3 linked regions of the Arabidopsis thaliana genome follow. The protein of the gene in region 3 interacts with the protein of the main gene of each other region in a pairwise test. Each region holds a gene or a part of one and is shown on either strand. Other genes may lie near its edges.

Region 1 (3,757 bases), about 24 Mb from region 3:
ATAAGGAGATTAAAAGAGTGATGAGAAGAGTAGAAGAAGCCATTTTTTTCCTAGGAGACTAAGTTTCTTTCTTCTTTGTTTGTGGGAGAGTAAGGGGATTCTGAGTATTTAAGGTTGGAATCAATTGGTTTGGTGTGTGTGACTATGGACATGAATTGTTATTGCACACATGATGTGTGTTTATTTGTTGCAACACTTGAGTTCTTCATGCTCGTTTCTTATTTGGTGTTTTTGAGTTCATTCGTAAATTGTGCTTCTTGTTGACCACAAGAAAACAAGAATGTTACCGGAATCTCGTTAACAAATTTTTAGAATTTGAAATAGTTAACCAATTGAAATACCAAATTTAGAAAACTTGAGCAACAAAGTCGTTGTAGTATAGTGGTAAGTATTCCCGCCTGTCACGCGGGTGACCCGGGTTCGATCCCCGGCAACGGCGTATTTTTAATTTTTTCATATTTGTTTTTATTTTAGTCCCTTTGTTTTCAGTTTCTTTAGTTTTAGTCCCTCATATTTCAGGTTTGTTTGTTTTAGTCCTTCTCTTCTTTATATTCAACTTCCCAATCCGAGACAAAGTGAAATCACTTAAATAGTTTACTTTCCGGTTCCGTTCTTAAACCTTCCGACGAAGCTCCGGTAGAGAAAACCTCTCTTCACCTCTCCCATTCTCGGCAGCCATGTACGGTGGAGGTAGGTTTTATTTTCGTCCTCTCTAAAATCTCTCTCTGATTGTACAAATTCAGCATTACTTCTTTCCCTTTTCGCTTGAGCTCGTCTCGTAAAGGTGTAAACTTTTCCTTGGTGGGGTTTCTTATATATTGAACAGACGAAGTGTCAGCTATCGTAGTAGACTTAGGTTCTCACACTTGCAAAGCTGGTTACGCCGGAGAAGATGCCCCTAAAGCTGTTTTCCCTTCCGTAAGTCTCATTCTTTACTTCCTCTCTTTTCAATTGGTTAAAGTTAGGTCCTTTTAGTGTAGAGCAAGCAATTCGAGAAATTTAGGTTTTTTGTTGTTGCTGTTGTTGATGTGTTATATAACTTATAAGGTTGTTGGAGCGATAGATGGAAATGGAATGGATATTGATGATGCTGCAAACACCACGGAGGATGCAAAGGAGTCTGATAAAGAAAAAGGCAAAAGGAAGCTTTACACAGGATCTCAAGCTTTGAACTTTCGCCGCGATCAAATGGAGGTCAGTTTTCTTTATTAAACTTCAAAATGGTTAGGGATGAAGATAAATTTTCAGGTCTCTCTATTAGTTGACATTTGTCTGTTCCAGATATTGTCACCTACAAAGGATGGCATTGTAACTGATTGGGATATGGTGGACAATGTATGGGATCATGCTTTTAGGTAATTTGCAGAATCTGTTAGTTTTTGTCTTTAACTGTTTAATCTTTATCTTTTCCATTTATAGTTGATTGATGATTTCATCTGTGTAAATGTTTATTATTCAAGGAATTGTCTAATGATTGATCCCACGGAGCACCCAATGCTACTTGCAGAGCCTCCTCTGAACTCACAGCAGCAGAGAGAAAAGTCTGGTTTCTCTACCTTTTATCGATGCTGAGTTCATCTTGGATTAGGAACAGATTATTCTGGTGGAACATCATCAATGCAGTAATTGAAAGAACGCCTCGAGAAAGACTTGGTAGAAGTAAGGTAGTATACTGGCATCGTTAGGCTCATTCCAGCAAATGTGGTTCTCCAAGTCTGAGTAAGTAACACATTGGATTGCTCTCTAGATCTCGACTCACGTATAAACAGTGTCTTCTCATCGCTAGGGTTTGAGTCTTTTTGTGTACATGACAGGTATGCAGAGCATGGAGCTTCTTACATCCAGAGGAAATGCCCTTAAAAGCTGCTTGAGATCAAGATAACGAGAACCTTTGGAGACAGTCAGAGGGTTTAGGGATTAAGTAATTAGTATCTTTTCATTTATTTAGGCAAATATTAAACACTTTTTTATTATTATTATGAAGCTTTAGAAATAGCTTCGTATAATATAATGTTTCAACGTTAACATACAACAAATGTACTATTTTTCTAAGTGAAAACAACCACAAATGTACTTGTGTGTTTGCCTGTTTGGTAAATCCACCTTCTCCGTTATCCAAAAGTCGAATTTACGTGTCGTAGTTTTTGTCACATTCGTCATTATCCAATAACACATGTCCACGTGTCACCATTTTCTGGTCTCTGGACGGCAAGAATCGCCGACGTGCCCCTATTTAATCGGATTCTCCCATTTTTATTTTATTTTCGTCAGATTCTCTCCAATTTTGTTTTTTCTTTTTAGATTTTTGATTCTCGAATCGCGGCTCCTGTGGGTCTCTGTGTTTTCCTTATTTTGAGTTCGGATTAAATCTCGATCGCGATTTGGTCCAATATCTCCTAGCATCGAGAGATTTCTATTCTGGCTAAATTTTGTGTTTTCTCAGGTGGATAAGAAATTTTCTCTTTGTCGTTTTCCTCGATAATTTTCGGATTACGGCGACGAATCAGATTGTTTTTTGGTTTCAAATTTTCTGATATTTCCAAAAAAACAAAAAAATCTGATTTTTGAGAAAAAAGCAATGCAACGGATCGTGGACAACGCTCTCGCTGTAACCAAAGAGTGAGTCTTTTTTCTTATCGATCATCAGTGGATTCATCTGTGTATGCGCCTATAGTTGTTCTAATGTTTCATAAATGACAAGTAGAGATTTTTAAGTTTTTGATCGTTTGGTGATTATAGTAAGTCTCTTTGTTAATTAGTATTGGTAGATTGTGTTTTTGAGTTTTGTTAGACCATTTTATTCTAGTATCTTCATTCAAAGCTTCGTCTTTTAGAGTTGATGTTGGCTATGAACTTTGAGTCGGTGAAATGACTATTTCTTTTTTTTTGGTTCGTCTTTTTGTTAGATGTTCTTCTTTTCCCTTATGTTGTCTAACAAGCTTAAACTAAATAAGCTTTTTGATTATGTTTTGGCTTTTAGTGCAGATCAGTAAAAACTGTTACATATGAGTCTTTGAATAACATTGCGAGGTGCATAAATGGAGTATCAGCTCTTCTGTTGACCCTTCTCCCAGGGAAGGCTAATATTCTTGAAGGCTTACATGGCTGGGAACTCAGGCCTACGTTTCGTGGACCACGTTTACCACGGTGGATGCATAAGTAATAATTTCTCATGATTCTTCTGTTGTTAGTTTATTTGCAAGCCTTCAAAATATGCTAATTTTACTCTGTTTTTGATGGCAGTGGGGTCTCTTCTTTCAATGAGTTCATTCATGAGCTTTCTGTTGATTCTGATACTTCAAGCTTGGAGTATTCTTCTGGAGAAGATAGTGATGGTCCTTTGCCTCCATCACCATCATCTCAAAGCTCACGCCTCTCTTGGGCTAGCACTTCTGCAAGTTCTGAAAACCACTGGACAGAGTGGATTACGTTCATTCTTTGGTGGTTAATGTTTCCTGTACGGATCTTGCTATGGATACCACAATATATTATAAGTTTATTCTATAAACGAAGTTCAAGAATTCCTGCGAGCCCGAGAAGGCACCAACATTCATCTAGACCTCGTATTAGCAAGACCAACTCAAGCAAAGACCATGATGTTCCCAACCGAACTACTGATAGAAGACGTGGGGTTATTGAGGTTTGTGGATGCACGAACAAATATTCAATGTTACAATCATTTTTGTGATTTTAAACCTTTTGACAAACTCGTCCTACTTAATGTGCTTTATTTTTCAGGATCTTCATCTTGCTATCG
Region 2 (3,757 bases), on a different chromosome or scaffold from region 3:
ATAGAATCCAGGGAGACGACAGTATGAAGAATAAAAGTGAAAAATCTAAGCTTATAGAAGAGTGATGTTACCTTTACTTGAAGGTTTTGCTGAGAGGAAGGAAGCTCGAATCGGAGAAGAAGAAGAAAGCAAGCAACTTTAGCAGAGAGTTTTCTTCTTCCTCAATTAAACTATTTTTGAGGCTCTATTATAAATGGGCCTATCTTTACTTTAATGGGCTTAACTTCTGTCAAAATGAGCCCATTTGTTAACTCCCTAATGATTATGTGACTTCTAATTGTGTGTGTGTTTTTCTTGACATCATCACTTCTAATTGTGTGTTTGCATTTGCAAGGTCTGGATTTGTTTGTTTTTTATTCAGTTTTGAGATCAATTTGATTTTACGAACAAATAACATTGACAGAAATATAAAATAAAATGTAATTAATACTATATTGATAATATAGATATAATTAAATCTTAAACTTTAGATTTTATTTTACCATCCGTTATTAACACATCGATAACACTAACACAAACTACTTTAAATAACCCCAAATCTCACAATTTCAATACTTTATTCCCAATATTTTTAATCTATAAGTAGGGGTGATCCAATACTTATATATTTTTCCTATAGTAATATAAAATGGATTATGGAACTTGAAACATAGTATGCAAAGGTAACATGGTTACAAAAACGAAAGCAGCAATAATCGTTCAAAAAAAAAAACTGATAATTCTTTTATTTCAGATAACAATTTCAAAGAAAAAAACAACAACAACAACAACATGAAAAGTTTGCAGGAGCAACAACAACATAAATCAAGAAAAAGCAACAAAAAGAAGAAAAACAGACACAAGTAAAGAGAATTTGAAGAATCCCAACTTCTTCGAATTAGATGCAATTGAGAGCTGCCTTATTCGCCTTTTTCGAAATCAAAGCACTTTGCATCGCCAAATGCATCTCAATCTGCATCCTCTCCACTTCTCTTTGAGCCTCTAACATTGCAGCTAACTCCGAATTCATCGAGTTTTTACTTCCTTCTCCTTTTTGATCTTCTTTCTTTGCCTCTTCCTCTTTCTTACATGAGTGTAAATGCGTAGCGTAATCACATTCCTTGCAATAATACGACCAGAGATTATCCGGTACAATGTCTTCACAAACATCGCATTTGGAAACTAAACCGGGTTGGTTATAAGGAGAACCGTAAAGAAGAGTAAGTGGATGTGGGTGATCTTCACGCTTCACTGTTTCAGGCATTGAAACACATCCGACATGTACATCGTACTGACAGATTGAACAGTTGTACGTGAAACTTGATCCGTATTCGCCGCAAGCATTACACGTGTACGTTGACTTTGGGGAATAGATTAAAGTCAAAGTGTGGGGTTGGTGAGATTTGTGGTTGGTTTCACGTGGAAGTTCAAAACATGACTTGTGCAAGAAGTAATCACAATCTGATGACTTTGTGCATTTGAAAGCTGCACCAACCAGATCGAGATCACAACCGGAGCAGATGATTTCGTCTTTGGCTTCGCATTTGTGACCGCGCAATGGATGGTTGTGACTCGGGTGCCTCACCGATTGTCGTGAAGACATTGTTTTATTCAATGTTCTTGATTTAGTATTGAGAGGCGTTTTGTTTGTGTTTGTGTTTGTGATTGTAATTAGCTTAGGATTTCAATCTATTTATAGCGTTAATGGAGAAGACTTAGTGATATTGAGTCTTGGTTTTGAATTTGACTATCAAACCAAGTTGTAGTTTATAGTGATTAACTATATAATTGGGAGAACAATGTCACGCTTTAAGTTATATATATATATAATATATTATATATTAAGTATATAACAAAATGGTTCATTTGGGATTCGAAGTCAAGAAATGCATTTCAAAGTCAAGAGATGCATTATGCATGGAATTAGTTTGCGATCTTGTTCACGCATCTGAGTTTTTTTTAAATGTTATAACTATAATTAGCTAATTAACCTGTTGAAATTCAAGATAAATCAAAATAAATATTGTTCTATCATTAGCAAGTTGGGGATAAATACATTAACGTTGACATAGTGACGGATGTAAAAGTCAAACTAATCACAATGCTTTGACTCTAATTAATTAAGGCTGATATCCACCGTCTACTCCTTCGTTTCGTTTCGTTTCGTTTCGTTTCATACAATAATGTTTTTTGGAATGCATACATACTATATTGTAAAATGATTGAATTACACTTTTTTATAAGAAATGATAAAAAATGATAAAAGAATTGGTGGAGATACAAAAATAAGAGATGCTCGAAATAATAATAGAATTGTGAAAACAAAAACAACAACGCATTAAAATAATATGATTGTTTTATTAAAATCATAAATATATATATATATAAAAAAACAAAATATAAATTAACATATTTTAGTTAGTTTATATCTTTGTAATCGATTCGATTATGTTACGCTCACAATCACAAGTTTGAAAATCTTCGTGTGGGATGAATCATAATGGATCCTGTAATAGAAATGTCATAATAAACAGATTACGGAATCCTTGATTATTGATATGGTTTCCTTAGTCAAAAAAATTAGAATCACTGGGGAACAGTAATGGAATTCAATCATGCAAAAATAACTTGTCAATTTATGTTAATATTATGTAAGAGATCCTCATGATTCGAATTGTGATTCATTCATGTAGCAGTTTCACCGATGATCTTATGTGTTATAAATTAGATTAATATTCAGACAAGGTCACACTCACACATTGACATTACATACGATCAAACTCGGTTTCTTACGGTACCATGTCGCGGTTTGGAGAAAACAATGGCAAGGGCATTAAGCCCCTGCCAAGAACAATTCGAGTTCGCATGTTTGACAACTCGGAATTAATCAGAAGGTTAAAGAGGACGACACTTATCGGAAAGATTATGAATCCTGACGTTCAGAGTGTTGGATCACTAGTTTTGATGATGCCTAGAATCTGGAAACTAGAGGGTCAAGTGGTTGGGAGGGACTTGGGATTGGGAACGTTCAGGTTAGATTTCGAGAGAGAGGAAGATATTCTTGAGGTGATGAAAACGGAGACTTTCAATTATAATCATTGGATGCTTTCTATTGTAAGGTGGGAACCGATTATACACAAGGACTACCCATCGGCCATCACATTTTGGGTCCGAATCGTGGGTGTTCCTCGGGATTTCTGAACTGATCAGGATTTCCGGAGAATAGGGAATGAGCTAGGAACTGTTCAAACCTTTTCGGCTACTGTGCTTCTTGTTTTAGTCTTCGCCATGATGAAGAATCTTGCCCACACAGCGACTTGCACAATCATGTTTCGACACATGACGAGTGATTCGAGTCAATCGAACTAAGATGGTTCACATTTGGGATTCAAAGTCAAGAGATTCATGCAACTATTTTCCGAACTCATCCAGGCATCTGAGTTTTTACTTTTATAATGTATGTCGTAATATCGAATTATCATTATCAAGTTGAAGAGTGTGAATCTAATATTAAGCACAATGCTTGACTCTTAAGGCCAATAGATAACTAAAAATGACGATTTAACAAAGTACTCAAATCAAAACTCTTACACTACAAAATAACCCTAAAGATTCTATTTGCGGAATTTGGAAGTAAATATTCCAAAATTACTTAAAACTCAGTCTCACATACTACTAGCATATGTCTTAACTACTCTCAAGTCTTCAACAGTCAATTCTCTAATGAGAAAATCAGTTTTTAGATCTTTAATGACTGATAAAGAACAAACCTTTGATG
Region 3 (3,757 bases):
GAGAGCTAGTGCCGTATCGTCTACCTCCGGCGCCGATGATTTCGCCTTTAACATACGAGGCGGTGAAGATTCCGGCGAGGAAGCAACGGCTTCGTCTTCTTCTTCGTAGGATTGAATCAGATCCATCTCTCACGATTTTGCTCTCTTACCACAAGTGTTTGAGAAACTTTATACTGAGATTTTGCCTCTTTTCTCTTCGACAAGGGTTTCAAAATTCCTAAATCTAAAATAAGGGTTGCAATTTGTGCGATATTTAGATTTTCAAATATAGCCTCTTACTATTTTTTTCTTTTCACATTTACCCCAATAGTGTATTTTATTGACATTTACATCCCACTGTCTTACTCGGTGGTTAAAATTATGCAAATCTGGACCAATCTAAAATCACGCCAAGCCAAACTGAATTAAACCGGGATGAATAAAAACGAAACGACAACGTTTTAAGGTTTCTTATGTTGACGGTCAACATATTTATCATAATCGAACTCAAAAGCAATTACTCATCTCATATTTAAAGAACTAACACATGTGTGAAAAAACACACTAGCGTTAGCGTAGACTTATCATTTGGGATTTCATGCTTCAAAATATATATATCCATAGATGATTTTCCGTACTCTCTCTTCTATCCTTGATGGATCAATGCCAATCCGACTAATGATAGCCTGCAAATATATGTAATAAAAATTTATACGAAAGACATGACACATGCATATACGTGTGTATTATACAAACATATGCGTGTGGATGTGGTACCTGGGCTATGATTGTGTAAGTGGTCCTATCATTCAAGTTCTGAAGATTAGCACTCATTACTTGAGCTCCTTCTTCTTCAAAAATACTCACAAGCTCGTGTAACATTACTCTTTTCATGTTTAGATCCATGATCAGATTCATTTCTATGGTCGAATCCCGCGAACGAATACTGAGTTTGGGTAGAAGAAACGACCCTTCGTAGAGATTCCCGAGTTCTCCTTGTAACAATGTCCTTTTCTTCTCTTTCAAATAATTTACATTCTCTTTCAATTGGATCATGTATGATGTCGCTTGATCTATAAGGTGAGGCACTGGTAACTGTTTAGATCCCAAAAAAAACCCCAAGATAATTACTTTCATTAATCTTTTACATGAATGTGGTTATATTCAATATATATAAATAAACCGTAAAAACCCTAGCTACGTGAATCATTTATTTGTCAATTAGACACCGTACTTAAAAGAGAGCTAATATGGACGGTCATAGAGGGACAACTGCCTATTCAATTAATCAAAATATTATCTCTTTAGAATAAAACGTACATCTTACAGTAATTATGTAGATAATGTTTGTATTGTTGTATATACGCATAAAACACATCTACAATTTAATATAAGATATATATAGAGAGAGAAAGAGAGAGAGGGAGAGTTAGAGAGAAAAAACGGACCTTGCGAGTGGGAGAAACATGAGAAGAAAGTATAGAGAAGAGATGTTTCATGCGCATCCTTCGATCCTTCTCTCTGAGGTTTCGTTGTTCCCTTAACGACGATGAGTTTCCTTCTCCTATTTCTCTTGCTCTCCCCATTCTTTTTGTTTTCTTTTAAGCTTTTATGTACAAGTTTCTCTTTTCAAATCCATCTCTCTTTATATACAGTTAAAGAGATAGAGAGGGCCGGGAGATACAGAGTCACAAATCTCAACTTTGAGAGAAAGAGCTACGTGATTTAGATGAAAGGGATGTTTTGGAAGAAAGTCATGGCTTTTGTGATTGCGTCCGTGAGCTTACACACTAAATTAATAAGATGCATGCATCTTTCCTACCAAGTAAATTTTACTATTTACTTCGGAATTTCCACGTTCTTAAAGATACAAAAGTTTCAAAACAATTAGATATGTTGTTTATCATTAAAAAAAAAATTAGATTTGTTGGTGGGTTGACACATTACTAGGACGCATCATAATTTCGATGTAAGATTTCTAACGTTCAAAGACATAGTTTAGATAGCATCATGCTTACCGTGTGAGATGAGATTCCTAACGTTCAGAGATATGATTCTTCTTCTTTCAGATTACTAACCATGAGTTTAAGTCCTGTGATTTACAGTAGGTTTGGAGAAAATTATTATCAAAAATCATTTCAATGGCGTAAAATAGTCAACAGCCACGGTAGACAAAAATGAATTCCTTACAACAGTACTATATATGTTTCTATCAACAAATAGAAAAGGAAAATTGTTTTGTATACTGATAGAATCGGGACCACTAAATCAAATAGTATCATCATGTTCAATTAATTTGGTGCACGTATTCATTATCCGAGGAAAGTATCATAAGGCGCCATAACCTAAGATTATTCAACAAGCTATCATTATCATAGAAGAAAAGGACACAACACATTCGGCATTCCTTACATAAATTATTAAAGGCCCTCAACTCTCTTTGGCCGTATGGCCGACATCGTTCACCGGATAGGGGATCTACATGGACCGATCGTCTAAACGTTCACCGGAGGTGAATACAAAGACAGAAAATTAAACATGCCTAGTTTTGTTGAGTCTTGGAGTACTCCAGGTAGATGTTGGTCATAACTTTGCCACTGAGCAAACTGACATAAAAAGTAAAAGGAGCCGCAATATGATACTAACACTGTGTATATATCGTCTCGCTGCTTGACCACTTGCTTAGAAACTGAGTAAGGGACAATTATATCCTTATTGCATTTTCCACATGTTATTCTTTTTTTCCTTCTTCAAATATTTGAATTCGTACAAGAAGAGAATAGTCATTTGGTAACTATCATAATTCATAGCCATTGAAAATCCGTGACTAGAAATACAGATTAGCCCAATTTTAAAATGTTAAGCCTATAATTACTTGTAACTAATTCTGTGGCTAGAAAAGGATGATTACTTATAGTTAGAAAATTTGTAGCGAAATTTTTGTTATCGATCTATATATACTGTCCAATTTATATAAGACATTTAGAAAAAAAGATTTGTTTACTAGTTATGTCGTGTATATATACATGTTTTTTAAGTTTTAGTTAACTATATTCACATACAAAATCTAACCATGTGTGATTTTAGGAGAAAACAAAGATGAATGTCCTTGCTATCGCAATATGAAAAACTCCAAAAGTGGATCCAAATGCCTATGCCCTTGAACATGTTTTGAAGATAGTCATCAGATGCATAACATCTATCTATTCTATGTATGCAAATATCAATTACGACTATTTTAGACGGCGCCTGTAATAAAATATTTGAGCTTAAAATGCTCAATGAAAGAAAATTTGAGAGTTCTTGACAATAAAAGTAGATAATATATTTTATATTTAAACATGAGATTCTATAAACGTAATAGAGATTAGGCATAGAAAGAAAAGAGAAAATAAAGAGATTTTGAAGATGATGTGAGAGGCTTTTTCGTTCATATACTTGAGGAAATGGTATTCAGACATTTGATCATTCTCTTTAACTTAAACAACAATAGGGCTATTACACCAATTCACTCTTAAAAATACTCATAATCTCATGTTTAAAGAACTAACACATTTAATTTGTTAAGAAAAGACTTGTGATTTGGGATTCAATAATGCTTCAAAAAATTAATCATGAGATTATATCCCTTAATCTCTCTTCTATCCTTGATGGATCAATCCCGATCCGACATATGATAGCCTGCAAATATTCATTTAGGTGATTATTAATTTATCATATATATATAGTCCTTCAAAAAAAGTTCAAACTATATTTTAATGATATGGAACAAAGAGAT

Evidence for each region.
Region 1: the proteins of AT1G10585 (region 3) and AT1G73920 interact in a two-hybrid assay, tested with the Arabidopsis thaliana proteins (one large-scale study listed by BioGRID).
Region 2: the proteins of AT1G10585 (region 3) and AT5G40590 interact in a two-hybrid assay, tested with the Arabidopsis thaliana proteins (one large-scale study listed by BioGRID).

What each region holds. Positions count from the first base shown.
Region 1 is NC_003070.9:27,788,616-27,792,372, forward strand, and holds the start of AT1G73920 (alpha/beta-Hydrolases superfamily protein), read left to right. Parts: upstream 1-2,121; 5' UTR 2,122-2,578; coding exon 2,579-2,619; intron 2,620-2,980; exon of another isoform or gene 2,981-2,985; coding exon 2,986-3,159; intron 3,160-3,243; coding exon 3,244-3,640; intron 3,641-3,738; coding exon 3,739-3,757. Other genes in the region: AT1G73890 (Bifunctional inhibitor/lipid-transfer protein/seed storage 2S albumin superfamily protein), read right to left, coding at 1-43; ARP4A (actin-related proteins 4A), read left to right, coding at 678-690, 827-918, 1,048-1,194, 1,282-1,355, 1,508-1,685.
Region 2 is NC_003076.8:16,250,732-16,254,488, forward strand, and holds AT5G40590 (Cysteine/Histidine-rich C1 domain family protein), read right to left. Parts: upstream 1,704-3,757; 5' UTR 1,583-1,703; coding exon 878-1,582; 3' UTR 587-877; downstream 1-586. Other genes in the region: AT5G40595 (uncharacterized protein), read left to right, coding at 2,779-3,045, 3,190-3,348.
Region 3 is NC_003070.9:3,493,540-3,497,296, forward strand, and holds AT1G10585 (basic helix-loop-helix (bHLH) DNA-binding superfamily protein), read right to left. Parts: upstream 1,706-3,757; 5' UTR 1,566-1,705; coding exon 1,428-1,565; intron 1,146-1,427; exon of another isoform or gene 1,117-1,145; coding exon of another isoform or gene 1,075-1,116; coding exon 757-1,074; intron 666-756; coding exon 576-665; 3' UTR 231-575; downstream 1-230. Other genes in the region: AT1G10580 (Transducin/WD40 repeat-like superfamily protein), read right to left, coding at 1-126; AT1G10586 (basic helix-loop-helix (bHLH) DNA-binding superfamily protein), read right to left, coding at 3,592-3,660.